3 linked regions of the Drosophila melanogaster genome follow. The protein of the gene in region 1 interacts with the protein of each later gene in a pairwise test. Each region holds a gene or a part of one and is shown on either strand. Other genes may lie near its edges.

What was found. Proteins that work in one complex are often made in the same cells at the same time.
Region 2: the proteins of Lamtor5 (region 1) and CG17777 interact in a two-hybrid assay, tested with the Drosophila melanogaster proteins (one large-scale study listed by BioGRID).
Region 3: the proteins of Lamtor5 (region 1) and Lamtor4 interact in a two-hybrid assay, tested with the Drosophila melanogaster proteins (one large-scale study listed by BioGRID).

Annotation. Positions count from the first base shown.
Region 1 is NC_004354.4:1,855,505-1,863,624, forward strand, and holds Lamtor5 (late endosomal/lysosomal adaptor, MAPK and MTOR activator 5), read right to left. Parts: upstream 3,468-8,120; 5' UTR 3,399-3,467; coding exon 3,364-3,398; intron 3,294-3,363; coding exon 3,232-3,293; intron 3,175-3,231; coding exon 3,057-3,174; intron 2,903-3,056; coding exon 2,815-2,902; 3' UTR 2,385-2,814; downstream 1-2,384. Other genes in the region: deltaCOP (coat protein (coatomer) delta), read right to left, coding at 4,015-4,309, 4,367-4,478, 4,553-4,866, 4,923-5,120, 5,182-5,594, 5,652-5,875, 5,942-5,981, 6,091-6,093; Gcna (germ cell nuclear acidic peptidase), read right to left, coding at 6,824-7,139, 7,199-7,456, 7,523-8,120.
Region 2 is NC_004354.4:2,182,727-2,188,879, reverse strand, and holds CG17777 (uncharacterized protein), read right to left. Parts: upstream 2,026-6,153; 5' UTR 1,952-2,025; coding exon 1,940-1,951; intron 1,733-1,939; coding exon 1,412-1,732; 3' UTR 1,139-1,411; downstream 1-1,138. Other genes in the region: CG3457 (uncharacterized protein), read right to left, coding at 405-983; CG17776 (uncharacterized protein), read right to left, coding at 3,703-3,915; Nmd3 (Nonsense-mediated mRNA 3), read left to right, coding at 4,342-5,270, 5,331-5,967.
Region 3 is NT_037436.4:3,892,501-3,898,636, reverse strand, and holds Lamtor4 (late endosomal/lysosomal adaptor, MAPK and MTOR activator 4), read right to left. Parts: upstream 1,738-6,136; 5' UTR 1,701-1,737; coding exon 1,546-1,700; intron 1,490-1,545; coding exon 1,282-1,489; downstream 1-1,281. Other genes in the region: Ccz1 (Caffeine, calcium, zinc sensitivity 1), read left to right, coding at 1-633, 697-1,178; Gr63a (gustatory receptor 63a), read left to right, coding at 2,034-2,243, 2,304-2,453, 2,529-3,638; Fie (fire exit), read right to left, coding at 4,379-4,468, 4,523-4,659, 4,723-5,104, 5,648-5,791. UniProt on the Drosophila melanogaster protein: Regulator of the TOR pathway, a signaling cascade that promotes cell growth in response to growth factors, energy levels, and amino acids. As part of the Ragulator complex, may activate the TOR signaling cascade in response to amino acids.

The DNA.
Region 1 (8,120 bases):
TTCACGAGCGTAAGCTTTTTATGAAAAAGAAGTCGTCATCACTGTGGCATATTATTTTATTTCAATCGATTTTGCGTCACCTGTTGACCAGCCTACCAAAATCTTTGCGGTTCAGCTATAAAAAGCAAGTAATTGCTGCCCATCGAACTATACTCCAAGTTGAAAGAATTTGGAGACCGCGATTAACCGCATAGCCCATGACATAATCACCCAAGATCATGACGAGATGTTACACCCAAAAAAGAAGAATTGCTCACTACACTGTCATCAAGCTATATCTGGTTCCGAATGTCTGGTACAATCATACATCATTTTGGACAGATATCAGGATTTTAGTAAAATACGTTTTTTCGGATTGTTTTTCTTAATAACAGGGCAAAAAAAGGTCAAACATCCATACAAAATAGTGCTTTGCACAGCTAATTATCCAAACTAACGACGCCCACCACTTTTAAGGGGATTAAAAAAAAAAAAATTTTTCAAAATTTAGAATTTTTTATAAGGGGTAACATCATCATTTTTTGCGAAAAATGTTCAAAATTCAACATTTCCAGCCTGGAATGCCATCCGATGGGAAATTTTATTACGAGTCCAACGAGGTATGACATTCCATGATTAGACCGATACTTTAGATGTTATGAATAAAAAACATATTATTCTAGGTAAAAAAAACAGGATTTGAGCAAAACTAGGTTCATTACGGAGGTGTTACATCATAACTTGCCCAAAAAACCTCGCACAGATATAACAATTACATCTTTATGCAGCTAATGTTCCCAACTAACGAGCCCTATAATTTGCGTGATGATTTCGAACAAAAATATTTTATGCCAAAATTTTGATTTTCTGTAAGGGGTAACATCATCATTTTTTGCGAAAAATGGTCAAAATTCAACATTTCCAGCCTGGAATGCCATCCGATGGGAAATTTTAATACGAGTCCAACGAGGTATGACATTCTATATTCAGACGAGTTTTACCTTTTTTGTAAACAAAAAGCGTATTATTTTGGAAGGCTTTGTATTCCTGTAGCTTCACACTACGTTATTATTGTGGTTACTATTGCCGCTTATTATTATGACCTTAATGAGGTTCTTTGTTTATTTAATGCCTTGTTTCTCGAATCTTAAACAGTCGGAAATCTTATTGGTGGATCAGATCAGATTCGATATATGTATATGTATGTACACGCATGCATTTGTGAAAAATGCAGCGCCGCACTTTGGAATTTCTCTTCGACTGCAACGTGAATCATCTCGCTTTCGAGAGATGACTTTCGTTGGGAAAGGTAACCAGTTTTCCGCGTCGTGATTTCAGTTCTATAAAAACGAAAGTGAAGCTTACAGTGGATGAGCAAGAATAATGTGGGTTAATGTTCGCTGCGCTCGGCATTCTGGGTATCCACGTCAGTTTTTAGAGATAGACATAAAATGGTGGCATTTCAATAATGGGAATACTTCTGTAATGCCCTGTGTTTCTTATGTCAATGCTGCGTATGAGTTATAAGGGTCATGAAGCGCGAACAATTTGAGTGGGGCTCTCCATGTCCGATGGTACGCAAACACCGAGATAGGTCATCACTGGTCACATGGGGATCCATCCAACTGAACGCTTAATTCGAGTTGAAGGCTTTATTGCGCTGGCTAAACAAACGCACCTTGGTGCCAATTTCGGTGCTCATTTTTTGTTTTTGTCATGTTTTATCAACTTTATTGTCTCTGCGGTGTTTACCTTGCACAGCCGCAGCTTTTCGACACCCACAGAAACGCAGGGAAAAAACGAAAAAGAGGCAACGACGGAGGCCTAGACGCCACACGTGGGTCGCCAGTGCCCCTGGTGAAAGTTCAAGGCTGCAACAGGTAGACACAAGCCGCAAACAGAGTGGGTTTACCTAGCAGATGTGCTTGCATATCCGAGGCGCAAAACCAACCAAACAAGCTCCACATCGCGGCGGTGCCACAAGGATCATGGAACCAGGGATCGCAGATCTGCAGTAGTTTAAGGCGCCACACCTCTCTTGCCAGGAAGGATACCTTCCAATTAGAGCGAACGCCTTCTAAAGCGAATTCCAATCAGCAAGGACTTCGCATGTAAACGAACTAATATGGCGATTAGCTATTTGAAACAATCTCTTCCATTGAGTGTGTATTGTGGATAGCATGGCTCGTGGGCTCCGGAATGCGCTGCAATTTGTCTGCTGGCACTACTGATACCGCTGCATTGTTACCGCCTTGTTGCATGCATCATGCCATGCCCACGTCCACGTCCACGTTTGTGTACAACTTCTTACATGACGTGGGCGCCGGCATTTCCTCGATGCGGTGCACCCAACCCGAAATGCAAACCCGGAAAATGTGCAAGATACTGCTGCACGAAGCACACCAGGCCGTTATGATTCAGTAATTACGTTTGAAAATCGAGTAAATGGCCAAGTTCAAAAGCTCTTAGCTGGCTTGCTTCATCGCTATAAATTTAATTGGTGTACATTGTGTTTACTTTCTGGGGCTTAATCGTACAAAGTCTTTATGTACATGTTGATGACGCTAGACTGGTTAAGACAAACAAGATCAAGTAACAGCAGTGCTTAATGCGTAATCCGTAATGCTTATGCTATGCGAGTCGTACAAAACAATGCTTATGGTAATGGCTATCGGTTAGAATGAGCGACAAATGTAACAGGCGCTACCATCGGGCGAATCGAGCGAAGCGGGCGCGACTTGGAAGATATAAGTATCTGTATCTGGCTTTGTATCCGTATCCGTATTTTGACTTGCGTATTTGGCCTGAGAGTTGCGATTGAGGCCCCAACTTTCGTTAGTTGCTGGGGGCGGTCGCCGATGTACCCGTCGGCTGCTTGAAGATAACGCCTGTGATCTCGCCGTCCTTCTGGATGACACAGCGTCTGCGGGGAAAGAAACGGGTGTCAATTAATACGCAGCAGAAATATAATTCATAAATAGTTTAAGGTACATTCTTTAAACTATTCCGACTATTCCAAGAGTAGTCCGTATCTAGTCCACCTAGATACAGCCCCTCATATCCCTCCTCCCACTTACTTGTTTCCGCTGTAAAGGCAAATCGTTGCAGGAGCCGTGGCATTCAGCTCCAGTTTGGCCACCTGCTCGGAAATGGCCATTCCGATGCCGGACACGTTCGGATCAATGTCTCCTTTGGCTGCAAAAATGTATTGTGGCATTACGGCACGGCCACTGACTAATCATCGATACTCACTGCCCAAACACAATCCCTGGCGATTGGCCAGCAGAGCTCCCACTGTGTCCTGCCGTGCGGCGCTGAAAATACGTTATGGATTTGTGGTTTATTTGGAGTACTATCTGGAATCGACGGATCGAGTGTGCCTACATTTCCGCTAGGACTTTCTCCAGTTGCTGCTCCATGGACGACGTCGTTATTTCCGCAGTGAAAAAACAAAGCAAGAACAGAACCAAAACAATGACCAGTGTGACCGCTCGCCGAGAAGACGGCAATACCAATAAGCCGGGCGTTAAGAATCCATGCACAGTGGGTACTACTTGCAAAAAAAAGTGACTCAAATTTAATATTTAGTTTTTAGTTTAAAAAAAAGGGATAACCTTCGCTTATAGTTAAGAATCCAGAAACAATCCACTTTGGTGTATATTGTATATGGTTTATTCATAGCAATCTACATACAAATTACTCAAATCGAAGGGGTGCGACGAAGCACACAAAACAAAACACTGCAATCGCCAGTTACAACTAATTGCAATTAATTTATTTGATACCGTTATATGCAGCGCAGCGGAGTGCACAAAATTAGTTTAATTAATTGGCTTTGATGGTGTTTTTTTTTTTTTTTTTGGAATCAATTACTCGCTCTGAGAAGCTGTCTGCGCCATAAATATGTAAAGTTCGCACATGGAAAAATAATTCTCAACATGCTGCAGCAGTTGAATTAATTGCATCGCATCGGATGACCCCGGGAAATTATGTATATTTATGTACTACTTAGGTGGGCGTGGCCAGCGGCGCGGCCTACACGATCTCGTACTTTTCCACGAACAGAATGGACTCGCTTGAATACTTGACCGCCGCCTCGCTGTCCACCTGCACCACATCCTGGGCCACGACGCCCGCATACGGCGTTTTCGAGACGAAGGACACCTGCAAGGGGAAGAAGTCACCGGGAATGGAGGCACTGCAGCTGAACTCCATAGAACCGGACTTGTTGGCGGCATCGATTATTGGAATGTGCCACTGGAGCACATGCTTGCGTGAATCGTAGTTGTAGGTGCCGTCGTACTCCGCCACCGAAGGCTGCACATTCATTCTAAGGGTGAAATGGAATAAGTAATCGCCTGCACATCTACGCCATTACTACACTTACGGCAAGGGAATGACAATGGCCACGTCCTGCAGCTCTAGCTGCTGCGCCTCCAGTTCATACTCAATGTTAACATCGCATCCACCCTCTCCATTATCCGATGGCCAGCAGTTAACTGGGAAAAAGGGAGAAACACAAGCACGTGGCTGAGCGAGAGGGAAGAAGTTGTTTGGGTTTGGATGAACTTACTGGTCAGCGGGACTGCCGACTCGTCCTGCGAGACGAAGCGCCACTTGAGCACACCCACATCGGTGTTAAGGGGAAACGGCTTGCCCAAGTTCTTTAGTCCGATGGTAGTGCGCGACTTGAACAGCTCCTTGTCCACGTTGGGGTGGGTCTGCAACTGCAGGCCCTGTGTGTGGTTGGGAGACAGCTTCAGCAAAATGCGTCCGTAGGCCTCGTCCGTAATGCGCAACGTCAGGAGGCCCGAGTTCTCGAACTGCTGCACGCCACCATCGCGTCCCAGACGCACTACTAGCTTGTCCTCAATCTTCAGATGTACGCTGAAAATAGATGTTATGCATTTAATAACTAACTATACAATCGAGCTGAAACCCACCTCTCTTTGTGAATGTCCGACGCGATAGCTGCCTTGGCCGCTGCACTGGCGCTAGCTGCAGCACTGGAACCTCCAGCGGGCGCCGCCGGTGCCAGATTGGCAATCTTCTCGCCCTCGTTCTTCAGCTGATCCACGAAACTATCGACGTCCTTGGACTTGCCACCTAGCTTGAGGGCATTGCGGGAAGCTGGTTTACTGCTGATGAAATCAGAGCAATGAGTCAGGAGCCTAGATTTAATAGAGCAGAGAAAGAACTTACGCAGCCGCCTTGGATTTGGTGTCCACATCGATGGAGGTGATGCCGGTGTTGGCGCTGGAGGCACCGGAACTGCTGCTCACGCCGCTACTGCCAATTCCGTCGGCGCTAAAGCCGCCGCTGCGGCTGCCAATGCCACCCAGGGAGGGACCACCCCGTTTGCTGGCCTCCATGCGCTGCCGCTGCAGTTCCTTGGCCTTCTCGCGCATCTTCTGGCGCGCATCACGCTCCTGCGTCTGACGCACTGCCTGGTAGACCTTCTCCTCATGTGAGTCCATCTCCACGAAGGTCTTGATCTGGGCCAAGTTGACGCTCTCCCTGTAGCCGAGTGCCACGATCTCGTCAAATGCGAAGATCAGATTGAAGGCATTCTCCACAATCTCCTTCTCGTCGAGCGAGTGGCTGTACTCGGGAATCTGCAAGCGATGGGCCTGATTAACACTGCGGCTTGAGTACATCCGTGTGCAACTCACCACTTTCGAGAAGAGGCGCAGGGTCTCCAGATCCTCCAGAATGTTGCTGGCCTTAGTGGTGATGAGCAGCATATATAGTTTCTCCATCGGCTGGTAGACGTAGCGCACGGAGTCCGTCTCCACGTAAGTGTGCTGCTTGCCAGCAGTCATCAGCTTGGGAAAGGCAGCCAGCAGTCCCTCGATGCGTGCCTTCGTCATCTCGACGAACTGACGTGACAGAATCACTGCGTGTACAAACGTTACGGGTTAGCTAAAGTGATTATTTCTTGCGGTGCATGCAAGCCACTTACCTTTGCCATTCTTCGTGCAGACAGCCGCAGCAATTAATACCTGCAAGTCGGATAGGTTTAGTGATAATACCGGAATGCAATAACCCCCGCCGATGAGACCCAAAATCGCCGACGTGTAGGTGTGTGCGTGCGTAGGTCGGGGCTCTTACCATTTTGCTGCTGCGTTTGACGTTTTTGCCCTGGAAAATACTTCGCGGATCGGATGCGGACGGCGCAGGATGGACTGCTGCTACGGATCGGATTTGCGGGGCGATAGAAACGTTGTTTAACAATCAATCCCCGTAGCTGACGTGTTCGGTTCTGCGACAAATGTTTACCGTGGCTTTGTGTGAGTTCGGGTAGTGTGACCAGCGCCACTGCGGAAACACAGTGTTAATACGCCTTGGGCCAAGGTAGGAGGTAGGCCCGTGGATACCCTGCCATTTTTTTTTTTTTTTTTTGCTACTCCATCTAGAAAATTGTTGTGTCTAGCCTTAGCAAGTACACCGCACTACTCACTTTTCACCAGTGTAGAATTTAACATTTCAAGATTGTGCAAAGCAATTATTTAATAGGTTGTATTAGGCATATATTAACATACATAAACAGACATACTCTTTCACTGTAAGTAATGAGTCCAAGCATCGCCTTTACCAACACCGCCGGCCGACACCGGCTATGCAAAATCGAGCTTTACAGCACTAGCTTTTAAATGTCCGTTTAATTTTAATGGAAACCATGTTTCTGGTTAAGAAAATATATAATACATTAAACAAAATATACTACTTCTACTACTTCGCACGAACTGAGATCTCAGTTAAGTTTTTCAAATTGTCTATGATATACCAAAAATGGTTTAGGGCTTGGAGCACATAATTTAACAAAACTCAAAAGAGAACCCAGCTAGTTGGACGACTCGTCCAGTGTCAGCGTTTCCACTCGGCTGGCGATCGACGCCGCTGTCTCCTCCGCCGGCTGACCCTTCTGCTTGGCGTACTCCACGCTCAGGATGCGCATCACCTGTGCGGCAGTCATGTTGTCGCGCTTGTGTCTCTGGAAGTTGTCCTTAACGAACTTAGCAAATCCCTTCGCCTCGCCCGCCGGCGTGGATACGGTGTTTCCTTGCTTGTCCTTTTTGTTCAGGAAGAGGGTGATGGGTCCCCGGCAGATCCTGCAGCGCAAATCTTCCACCTTGCGGGATCGGGAATGGGCATGTGACCTGTGATGCGTAAAAACTGCATGACAATAATATTCTTTTTATCACTTGGGAGAACTTACGCTTTGTCGCAGCTCAGGCACTTGTAGGTATACTTGAATTCAATGCTATAGTTGTGGCAGACCTTGATCTGCGGGAGATCGGGGAACTTGTCGTTGGCTCTTTGTGCCCACATCTTCCACACCCGTCCGTGTCCACCCTCGCCATTGAATACCCAGGCCGCAGCATGGCAGAGTTCGTGTATCAAGGTGCAACGCAGGCGGTCCGCGGTAGTCAGCACTTTGACGCTCAGTTCCACCACGCTGCTACGCTGGTTAAGTCTGCAAACAATATATATTTATCGAATTCAAGGAGGATATCTGGTTGTCTCTATAAGAATCACCCACTTGCGCTTGTTCATGCACCGGCCGGCAGTGTTGCGCAGCAATTTGGACCAGGTGATGGGCACATCCAGCTCGTTGTTGAACACCTGGGCGTTATACATCTTGTAAAGATGCTGGGCCAGCTGATCCTTATTTCTTGCGAAGTTTTCCCGATAGAAGAAGGCCTCGTTGTCCGCCCTATCGCGGCTCACTTGTCCCTCCAGGGATTTCAGAAAGCCGCACTTGCCGCCGCTCGCAACGGGTGAGAGATCCTTCTGCTTCCTAGGTTTTGGAATCTGCTTAGTGGATTTTGGGGGGGTAGAAACTTTTGGCGGTGCAGATGTTTTGGGCGGAGCAGTGCCTTTAGGCGGAGCCGTTTTTGGCGTAAGCAACTTGAGAATTGGGCTCTCGTGGGGCGTTGTCTGACCTTGCTGCCCAATGCCAAGCTTCTTCTTTACCTCCTGCACTCTCCTGTGGACTGGAGTCCCGGGTAGGTAGTCGCTCTCCAGTTCATCCAGCATGTCCAGGTCCAACGCCCTGTTTACTATCTCCTTAGCTTGGTTATCGTTCTCGAATCCTGCGTTAGGGGTAAAAAGTTGGCGACGAATGTTTGGCTGCTGCA
Region 2 (6,153 bases), 330 kb from region 1:
CTAGTGCCCACTCCACTGCGTCCACCTGTTGCCGGTGGCCATAAGCCACTTGTTGTCGTCTGCCGCTTGCCTAGCTCCTTCTGAGGAGAGCCAATTAGGAGGACCCGCATTCCCCACTCGATATAATCCGATCGCACGTCCTCCCGATTAAAAGGCCGCAAAACCATTTACCGTAGTTAACCAAATCTATAAAATGCATATGTTTCGATTTGAAGATGACATAAGCGACATATAACCTTGCAAACTATTATTATTAGCAGCTAGGTAAGTGGAGCATGCAATGGGTTATTATACTTGTTTACGTATACAAATTGTTATGATAAATGGAATGTGAAATGGGGGGGGGGGGGGTGGGCTTTGAGTGCAGCTGCGCTATGTTTTCATAACGCGATAAGCGGTCAGGATTACACTCCTCCCCTAGCCCCATCCTCCTCCTCCACCTCTTGCAGTTGGTCCTGCTCCTCCGGCTGGGTATCAACGGTATCGTTGGTGTCCGCATTCAGGTCCACCCAGTTGTCATCGCTGATTTCGTCAATGGTATCCGTGTCATCCACTACGGCCGCCACGCTCACGTCATCCGTGGAGCCGGAATTAGTGGTGCCAGTGGTTGTGGTGGCCGTGACGGCGGACGAGGGTCTCAGTATCTCCTCCTGAGTGGCCGGAGTCGGGGTCGTCGACGTGGTGTACGATGCGGAGGAGGGTGTCTCCGAACGGTAGCCCATTCCCGTAATGTACGACCCGGACCCAGAACCCGAGCCCGATCCAGACCCTGATCCGGATCCCGATGCGGTTTCCGTGGCCGTTTCCGTGTTGGAACTGCAACTTGCCGTTGTTCCCGAAGTGGAGGCGTCGTCTCCGGGGAGGGCGTCCTGAGAAAGCCTAGGTCGCGGGGCGCCCTTTAACTTGTTCTTTTGGCGGGCAACCTCATAGTCCTTGAGATCGGACAGCTTGAGTGTGATTTTCTGCAGATCGCGCTTCAGCATCTCGAAGTCGAATTCCTGATTTTTGCTGATGATCCGAAAGACTGGTGGTCACGCGCCGATCGCAATTAGAACAGTGACTTTTGTATAACAGTCACTGGGCCAATAGCGGCTTTATACCTTCACTGGCCCCCATAGAGTGACCGAAAATCACTTTTACTGTCATACATATGCAATGTAATCGATTCTTTATTGTTGAGTAGGATTTAACTTTGTTTACATATGTACATATATCATATTTGTACTACATCCAACCCAAATTCAAAGACATGCGAGTAATGTATTCGCTATTTGCAGTACATTTATATTGCGGTGAATGATGGGGGAAAACCAGTACATATACATATACGAATGATGGTGCAGTGATGAGCATGGAGCGATCGAGAAAAAAAAAACAGTATGCATTACGATCTTGGGGATAGGTAGTGGTCCTAGTAGAAGCCGTAGTGGCCATGGTGGTACGGATAGTAGCCGTGGTGTCCGCCGTAGTAGGGCGCCGCATGGACGTATCCGTAGCCGCCGTAGTAGGGACTGCTCAGTCCACCGTAGCCGCCGTAGTGACCGTGTCCATAGGCACCGTATCCGCCGTATCCGCCGTAGCCGCCATAGCCGTGGCCGAACCCGTAGATGCCTCTCTTCTCCGTCTTCTTCTCATCCACGGCGGATGGCTCCGGCTCCAGAGCTTCAGGAGCAGGCTCCGAAACTGCTGCCCAGGTGCTCATGAAGCAAATGGCCAGGATGACGAACACGCACTGCACAGAGAAAAAAAGGTTCGGTATATGAAACATTTGAAACGATGTTAACAAATGATTTGTTTCAAATTGTAGCCAGAGCACTTCCAGCAATTTTAAATAACTTGTATTTTGTTGGATAAACTGTCACTCAAAAAAAAGTCCACTCGTTTGCTTGACCGGTGTCCTGGTATCCTGGTATCCTAATGTCCTGGTGTTGCTGCTTACCAAGAACTTCATGTTGCTGCTGCAGATGTTGCTAGTGGCTGTTGGCTGGTTGACTTGATGGGTAGGGCGCCAGGCGAGGTTTGTTGATGGCTGCCAGTGGCCCGACGCTTTTATAGTCACCCGGCTTGGCTTATTGTTGCCAGTTGCTGCTACAGTTGCAATTATGCAAACTGACAATAACGGCGGCAGCAGCAGCAGCAGCAGCGATTGTTGCAGCTGAATTGAATGCATGACGGGTTGAGGACTTGAAACCGAATATTGTTTATGCTGCGGAGCCAAAAGGTCATCCATCCGCTCATCCGGCGGAGGAGAACTTGGCGGAGGATTGCAGTGGGGGGAGTGAGGTGGAGTGGGCGTGGAAACTAACGATATCGGTTATAATTGCCAGCGTAGTCGAAATTCTAAGATCCCAGGCTCGTTGGGTAACCGAAGTGGGGCAGCAACGCGATCCACAAGCAACGTGCAACACGAGACACTCGACGCGTTCCACAATCACCAAGTGCCCCTCTCGTACACGGTATGCATATCGTGTAACACTTTCACTGCCAGATCGGATGGCCAGCAGCGCCCAAAAGGCGCACTATTACCTAAGCTCGTTCAGAAGCTGGCCAAATGCTGGGATGCCACTGGCCCCGTGGGAATCGCATATGCGCGCCAGCATTATACACAAATTACAAACAATTGCACGTTTGGCAGCGTTTTGGCATTTTAATTAAGCTGCCAGACAGCTGAGATCTCTGCCAGATCATTTCCAATGCAAAGTCTTATCGACAGAATATCCAAAGTGCACGACTTTGACGGAGACCTCTGGCTTAAGGGGTATATTGGGACAAGGATCGGTGACCAGGTCAATGGTCATTAGTTTTAATGGGCTTGAAACTAGGTTGAAGAGATCTTCTATTCAGAGGAGCACAGCTTTTGCTTAATATACTAAAGTTTTAAAACAATTTGATAGCCATTTGGGCAGACGACTCTGTTCTGCGCGTTCCATTATTCTCGATCACTTCCGTCTGCCGGGGGTACTTGCTACCCAGTACCCAGTGCCGTGCCCACACAATAAAGGACGACCTTGACCGCAGTGGCAATTGCAAATCGCAATTGCAGTCTGCTGCGGCTGTTGCTTTTGCTGCTCCGAGTTCCCAAGTCATGAATGAAGCAACGCCGGAGGCAACATTGTTGAATGAAGCATGCAAAAGATTTTCCCAATCGACGACGTCTCGCCATCTCTGGCCAAAAGTGGGTGGCACCGCCATTGTCTCCTTCTCCCCGCGGTTGTTTTCGTATCCACATCGTTTAATATTTATGCTCTGCCCATTGGAGGTGAATGCACGCGAGACGCGTTGGGCAAGCGGAAGACCAAGCAGCCAAGGGGTTTGGTCTATGGACTGGGACCTGGTCACGATCCGGAGATGACAACATATTTGATTGCCAGCTAAATTATAATTCTTGACTAAGTCTAGTCCGCCGAACGGGTCGATGTCCATGTCGCTGTCGATTGATTGATTTCCCATTGTAGCCGACCAGTTTGATTTACGGCCCAGACGGCTAATTGCGCATTGTTGGCTTGGTTCCAGGGTTAGATCTTGAATCTGGAATCTTACAATCCCACCGGGCCTGCCGACGGTCCTCCACTTTGGCCAGCTGTCCGAGGTTACACAACAACAACCGGCGTTGGCCGTTTTCAGCTGAAAATGCTTACATTTCCTTACAGTTTATTGCGCTTAACAGACATTTAACAATTAAAGGGGCGGAGGAGGGCGCGCCTAGTACTTCAGTTCCTTGGCCTTGTCGTGGGCTCCCTCGTCCAGGAGCTTCAGCTCCGCCTGCTGCTTCTCCGGTCGGATGACCGTGCAGTAGTGGTAGTAGCGCATTCCCAGGATGTAGGTGCCGTACAGGGTGACTCCAATGCAGGCATACACCGCGCCGCGGTGCAGCTTGTCCAGCAGCGTGTTGGTGTTAATCGGCTTCTTCTGCATGGCGGCAAATCCCTTCCAAGTCCATAAAAGTTTCCGGCAGTCGAGTCCGTCGCCTCAGCTGGTCTGTCAGTGATGACGGCGGCGAATGTATCGATAATTGGGCGTACATTTACTAGCCAAAATAAAGATGAAGACAGTCGAATGAGTACTATATTTTTAAGTGAATTTTAGGAAATCGTTCCAAATGTCCCATTTAGCTTTGAGTCTCACTCGTTTAACGTCGTTTTATCGTTAATCTCACTTTTAGCTACTCTAGCTGGAAAAGGCTTAACTTAAATCGCCGATTAATAATATCGCTGATCTCTGGCCAATCGATATACACCTATACGCACGTGTTTACAAATTTGTGTACTTCGTGGGAATATTTCATCGTATTCTACAACGCCATTGTGAAATAGCTGGACCGAATAGACCTCCGGAGGATTCATGGATCACGAATACGTTGGGGTTAGCCCGCTGGGCGCAGCGGACGGCAAGGGCGCCGGATCGAACGCCGTCATCCTGTGCTGCGAGTGCGGAGTGGCCATCCAGCCGAATCCGGCCAACATGTGCGTCACCTGCCTGCGCAACCATGTCGACATCACGGAGAACATCCCAAAGCAGGCCGTGCTCCACTTCTGTCGTAATTGCGAGCGCTATCTGCAACCGCCGAACGAGTGGATACAGGCCGCCTTGGAGTCCCGCGAACTCTTGGCCATTTGCCTTAAGAAGCTAAAAGGCCTGAAGGAAGTGAAGTTGGTGGATGCCGGCTTCATCTGGACAGAACAGCACTCCAAGCGCATAAAGGTGAAGCTGACTGTGCATGGGGAGATCATCGGGGGAACGATGCTCCAGCAGGTATTCGTGGTGGAGTTCACTGTGCAGAACCAGATGTGCAACGACTGCCATCGGACCGAGGCCAAGGACTTCTGGCGCTGCCTCGTGCAGGTTCGTCAGCGGGCCGAGAACAAGAAAACCTTTTACTATCTGGAACAGCTGATCCTTAAGCACAAAGCCCACGAGAACACTCTGGGCATAAAGCCGGAGCATGGCGGCCTGGATTTCTTCTATGCCAATGATAATCATGCCCGGCGCATGGTTGATTTCCTCCTGACCATGGTGCCCGGCAAGGTAACAACCTCGAAGCGTCTCATCTCTCACGACATCCACAGCAACAACTATAACTACAAGTACAACTGGTCAGTGGAAATAGCACCAGTATCGAAGGACAGTGCAGTTTGCCTGTCCAAAAAGCTGCGCCACCAGCTGGGAAATCTCTCGCCATTGGTTCTGGTCAACCGGGTGTCTAGCAGCATTCACTTGATTGATCCCCTGACCGCACAGATTGCAGAACTCACCTCGCAGGTCTATTTCAGGTGGGACTCCTATTTGACAAAGGTTATCTTCGAGTAAGCCAATTAAATTGCTTTTTTCAGAGCTCCCTTTGAGGCCGTCTGCAATCCCAAGCAGCTGGTTGAGTACGTCGTCATGGACATTGATGTGATCATGGAAAAGGATCGAAAGACCTATCCTGGTCAAGGGCAGGTTTCCTTCAAGCACGCTCTCTGCGACATTTGGGTGGTGCGCGCCTCGGAGCTGGGCATCAACGATAACCCCATTCACACACGCTCCCACTTGGGCCACCTGCTCAAGGTGGGCGATTCCGTAATGGGCTACAACACCGGAGAGGCCAACATCAACGATCTGGAGTTCGACAAATTGTCGTCGGATGAAATTCCGGATGTAATTCTTGTGCGCAAGCACTACGATCGACAGACCAGACTCAGTCAGCGCGTGTGGAAGATTAAGCATCTGGCGGCGGAGGCTACCGATGAGCGCAGCAAGTACGACTACCACGAGTTTCTTGACGATCTCGAGGAAAACGAGGATATCCGCGGTCAGGTCAACATCTATCGGGACACTAACAAGACGATACCAATCGAGGTACAGGCCGCTGGAGGTGATGTGCCCCAGATCACACTGGAGGAGATGTTGGAAGATATGACATTAGAGTGTGCAGACGACGAAATGGGCGAGGAGGGAGGTGCTGACGATACCGAGCCACAGTTGTAGTCCTTTTTTTTATTAATCATAACGCTTTCTTTTACCCATGTATACCCTGTACATAATCGCTTAATCCATATAAACAACTAGGAAACTGGATAGAGCTTAATGTGTGAATACTCTGAAACTAATTTGCCTTTATGTTACCAAGGTTGCAAAGTAACTTAAATTTGGAATACTGATTGCTTCCATATT
Region 3 (6,136 bases), on another chromosome or scaffold:
AGATCTCCGACAGGATTTATAGAGCAATACTTAGACAATGCTATCAAATGTTTCGCTTTCAAAACGGATGTTTCTCCTCCTGCGGAAGTGAAGAACCTAATCCGGATAAGCGTAGGGAACTGCTCTGCCAGAAGCTACTCCAGTTCTATGATCAGCATCTGACCAACCTGAGGGATCCCGCGCAATGTGATATCATCGATATGCTGCATTCCATTCAGTATCTGCCATTGGATAAAACGCTCTTCTTGCGGGCCCAAAACTTTGGCACCCTGTGCGAGACCTTCCCCGACATCAAGGAGAGCATAATGCTCTACCAGGAGCAGGTCCTTTGTGGCGGAAAACTTAGCCCGGAGGATCTGCACTGCGTGCACTCGTATGTCGTGCAACACGTGCTGAAAGTCGAGGCCAGCAGTTCCACCATTGCAGTTTCTCCTTCACTAAAGCGAAGCATAAGTGAATGCCAGGTGGGCGGATTCGTAAGAAGTCGTCAGAAGGTCGCAGGAGATGAACATGACGCTGTGAATGAGGAAGATCATCCAATGAAGGTCTATGTGACACTGGACAAGGAGGCCAAACCCTACTACTTGCTCATCTACCGCGCTTTGCACATAACTCTGTGTCTGTTTCTGAATGGTATGTTAAGGATTAGAACTAAATAGCCAAAATAATCAACTTGAAACATTCCACATTTGTCAGCTGACCAGGTTGCGCCGAAACAAGATCTCTACGACGATCTCCATGCCTACATGGCTCCCCAACTGACTTCGTTGGCCCGGGACATATCCAGCGAGTTGACAAAGGAGGCGGTGGGTGCTGCAGGCCAGGACAACTCCAGCGGGAACAGCGAAACGGCGCCGAAGTACTTGTTCATTAACGAACAAAGCCTGCAGCACCACACGAACTTTCAGAGGCACCTGCCCCAAGGGCTGCCCCGCAATGTGCTTAGTATCATTGCGGACTTGGCCAATGGCAGTGGCAAGGCGGAAATGGAGAGTGCTCCTGCCGAGGAAGTTCAGGTCAAGACCACCAATGACTATTGGATTGTGAAGCGGCGCTGTAACTACAGGCAGTACTATGTGATCCTGTGCAATAGCAAGGCCACCTTGCTGGACGTCACCCAGGAAGCGAGGCGCATTTTCGAGCAAGAGCTCACAGATGATGTATTTTTTGACAAATAAAGAGGAGGATTAGGTAAATAATGGGAGTGCGCCAATTGTGGGGTCTTTGTCCGGTTGCTTGCCAACAGAATCTGCAAGTGGGTCGGACATCCGACGACGGATTTCAAGCCAGCACTGCCCCGGAATCGCTGGCATCGTTATACACGCTGTTCGACGAGGAGGAGCTCGTGGTCGTGGTGACGCCATTCTGCGATTTGCTGATCTTAATGATGTATATTCTACGGTTGGACATGCAGATGCTGTAGTAGTGATGCTCGTAATCGATGGTGATCCTCTCGCAGCTGCTGCTCGGCATGAAGGACTCGTCGATGCTACAATATAGGCGTAATTATTACAAAATTCCTTCATCCTTTGTTTAAAAACGCACGTCTCTGTGAGATTTAGTAATCCCATTATCACATTTGCACTGCGCTCATCGTTCTTCAGATCTCCGCCGGACTCCAGAACTGCTCCATCTTCCTTTAGTATCAGATAGCCAATTTGATTGGGCACAATCAACTTTTCCCTGTCCATTTTCAACATATTTATTTATTTATCTTTCGCACCCACACCCACCAGTGTGACCGGACTAGATCCATTTAGATACCAAATCGGTAGCCTGGCAGCCCGGTTTCAGTGTTGTAAATTGCCACATGCGCGCCATTGACACAAATTCGAAATTGGGACACCGGGCTAAGGTTAATTCATTCAAAAGACAAACAACGCACATCAACAGGAAACTAAAACTCCGGCTCTAAGTCAACAGAGGGCGTGGTCGATAAGGGGGCGTGTGCAGGTGCATGGCTAATGCGTCCGTCTGGCGAAAAAGTGGTAAAAGGCCACGGACAAGGAAATTCCGGACACAGTCTCTCCGGAATGGCCAACTACTATCGACGCAAGAAGGGTGACGCGGTGTTCCTCAATGCAAAACCGCTGAACAGTGCTAATGCCCAGGCATACTTGTACGGGGTCCGCAAGTACTCCATTGGATTGGCGGAGCGATTGGATGCGGATTACGAAGCTCCTCCGTTGGATAGGAAAAAGAGCTCGGACAGCACGGCGTCCAATAATCCGGAATTTAAGCCGGTTTGTGGATTGCTACGCTGTTAAAACCATTTTTGTAAAACTGAATTTCGCTGCTTTCAGAGTGTTTTCTACCGAAACATAGATCCCATCAATTGGTTCTTGAGGATTATTGGAGTATTACCCATCGTGCGACATGGTCCTGCTCGTGCCAAGTTCGAAATGAACTCCGCCTCCTTTATTTACTCGGTGGTTTTCTTTGTGCTCCTGGCGGTGAGTGTGGTGTTTGCATAACATTTTTCAAAATTGACTATGGATACCATTATGTAACCCAAAACCGCTTTACAGTGCTATGTAGGCTATGTGGCCAACAACCGCATCCACATTGTGCGCTCCCTGAGTGGACCCTTCGAGGAGGCGGTTATTGCATACCTCTTTCTGGTCAACATCCTGCCCATTATGATTATACCAATATTGTGGTACGAGGCCAGGAAGATAGCAAAGCTCTTCAATGATTGGGATGACTTTGAGGTGTTGTACTACCAGATATCCGGGCACAGTTTGCCTCTGAAATTGCGACAGAAGGCGGTGTACATAGCCATCGTGCTGCCAATTCTCTCGGTTTTATCGGTGGTCATCACGCACGTCACCATGTCGGATTTGAACATTAACCAGGTGGTGCCCTACTGCATCCTGGACAACTTGACTGCAATGCTGGGTGCCTGGTGGTTCCTCATCTGCGAGGCCATGAGCATTACGGCTCATCTTCTGGCGGAGCGGTTCCAGAAGGCACTGAAACACATTGGACCCGCTGCCATGGTGGCAGACTACCGTGTTCTGTGGCTACGACTGAGCAAGTTGACCCGTGATACTGGAAATGCCCTGTGCTACACCTTTGTTTTCATGAGCCTCTACTTGTTCTTCATCATTACCCTTTCGATTTATGGACTAATGTCGCAACTCTCCGAGGGATTTGGCATCAAGGACATAGGACTGACTATCACGGCTTTGTGGAACATAGGACTGCTCTTCTATATTTGCGATGAGGCACATTATGCCTCGGTTAATGTGCGAACCAATTTCCAGAAGAAACTACTCATGGTGGAGCTTAACTGGATGAACTCGGATGCCCAGACGGAGATAAATATGTTTTTGCGAGCCACCGAAATGAATCCATCGACCATCAACTGCGGTGGCTTTTTTGATGTGAACAGGACTCTCTTTAAAGGACTCTTAACCACAATGGTCACTTATCTGGTGGTTTTGCTGCAGTTTCAGATCAGTATCCCCACAGATAAGGGGGATTCTGAAGGCGCTAACAATATAACCGTAGTGGACTTTGTAATGGACAGCCTGGATAACGATATGAGTCTAATGGGAGCCAGCACTCTGAGCACCACCACTGTAGGAACCACTTTGCCACCGCCAATTATGAAGCTAAAGGGCCGGAAAGGCTAGTGGAACAAATAATCCTAAGACAAGAAAGATATTATTAGATAATGTGCATCTGTAGCTGAGGCCAAATAATAAAAGCACCCAAAACTGAATATTCCAAACATTTTTCTAACTTGATGTACATTAAATTAGTAAGTGTGGAAATAATAAAAAACACGTTCATTAGATATGTTACAATTTTGCACTTTTATTTGATATTCGTTCTGTGCCACAAAATAGAAATACCTAAAATATTGCTAGTCAACAGAATTTAAGGCATATTATAGTTAAGTAGTGGTAAATCTACTGAGAAACTAAGCTTTAAAAAATTCGTTGCTACAATACATATTTGTATGAACGCCAATTTATTTAAGACAAGTTTTTCGTTTCAAGATTTTGGGGCTTAATCAATCTCGGCTATCCCGAGAGTTTCGCTGCCGTAGCCTAGGGGTTAGAGAGTGCGACCTTCGCTTCGAAGTTCCGAGTTCGAGTCGCGTTAGTGACCAAATATTATTATTATTTTTTTTATTTTTTAAGGTGCTTTGGGAGCTATTTCTACACAAAAATAGTTTATAGTTTAATCGCCGAACGCTTTGAACCGATTCTGCATTTCTAATAAGCCGCTCCATGTCCGTTGGCTATATAAAATAGTATCTCTACCAAAACCATATCACACTCTGTTTTGCAATACAGAATTTGCAGTGCAATTGCAATCAAGACACCTGATGGGAAGTTCCAAAAATATCCAATCTTTCAGTACATGTTTAACACTGTCCATCGGGAGACTCGGTTAGAATGTGCTTATATCCATTGCTGCCCAGATACATGTGCTCGCGTTGGAAACGATAGGGTATCTAATGTATAAGAAAGTTACTATTAAAGTTTTCAAAATATTGATACCAACTTACGGCTCCTGGAGCTGGACATGGTATGGCCACAGTGGCAATCTCTCGAAGCTTATTCATGGTGCGTAGACTCTGGTAGAAGCTATGCATCACATACCACTTGCAGTAATCCATGCAGATCAAGATGTAGCAAATGATAACTGAAATATAAGATAATTCGTTATTATTTACTTCAAAATTTAAGCCTAAAAATCCAAACTTACAGTAGGGCACTTGACCACCCAGCAATTGCACGATTTTTGTATCCCTCAGCATGAAGACCAGTGCCCCCAAACCAATCATTAATAGGAACTCCACAACCAGCCAGGGTATGATTAGGCCCGGCCGATTTTTGAAGACTCCGAAAAACAGGAATATGGCACTCAGGGCGTAGGTACCCGCGATACCAGCCATCACGTAGAGCAGATTCTCCGTGGCGACGGCCAATTGGGCAGCGGTTTGCAGGCGAAGATCGTTGTGAAAGGGCGACATGTTGTAGAAACCATTGTCCTTCTGGTCCAAGATGTCCAGCTCCAGCACCTCGCACATCTGTTCGGCATGCGCCAGTCCCAGGAGAACCAGGAAAAGGGCGCAGTGGGAGATTAACTGGGGAATATAGAAAAGCGACTGTTTAGGATCTCACTTAACAAAAAGTGTTTGCGAAAACCGGAACAACCCAGCGATCTGCTGAAGCTACCACCCTTATTTTTCACCAAACTGAACGAAGCCAGAAAGCTGCTTCTACAATTCCCAACTGGTTCTAGGAGCTTTCGCAACAACTCCCAATATATTTCAGGAGAAGAGCTTTAAAAAGGGTGCTCGTCCTGGCACGTTTCCGATCACGAAACTCAAGTGCGGACGCATTGCGCCGCAGGAGCGTCTCCTTCGCTCCGCCCCTGGACTTCTCCGGGGATAGGCGGGGGCGAGCGTTCCATTGCCGCCTTCGACGCCTCCTTGCGCGCCCAGTGGGGTATGGCTTTGCATATCCAGTGCGTAATTTTTGTATTTGGGGCCGCGGCTGCACATTGTGGATTGCTCGGGGATTCCCGGATCTCCCTGCGTGCCAGTGCGCTGCGCCCCGCCTGAGATATCCATTCTCCAGTCTCTTATATAATCCGCTACTATATATACATGTATGTTTGAACTTACCAACTGGTAGATGCTCGTCAAGAGCGCCGTGGTCCTGAGGTTCTTGGGCGATACGGGCGCCATCAGCATTTCCCAGCTGCGGCGACAGCAGTTTTTCCATTTGCATCCTGCGGCGGATTGGCCGCTGACCGTTGGCAGCAGCATTTCACTTTAGTTTTCCGAGTTTTACTTAATCAATTTATGGATTTTTCCCGCTTATTCAGCTAATCAAGGAGCGACGCAACTGTTCCGCGGCTGTTTCGTCATGCAATTGAACTTGGAGACCTCGCGAAAAGGTGGAGGGGCAACACCCACGCGACCCAAACTTTTCCGGAGCTTTTTCCTGTGGTTTGGGGCGTAAACTGCACTAGCGAATTAATCAAAAAAACTATATGGATAAAACAACGTTGAGTGCCAAGGTCCGCAAAATGTTTTGACTCGGCGAAAAGCTTTTACGACTGTGTTTTGTTTCATACTCTGCCGTTGAGTTTTTTGGCTATCTAAAGCGTG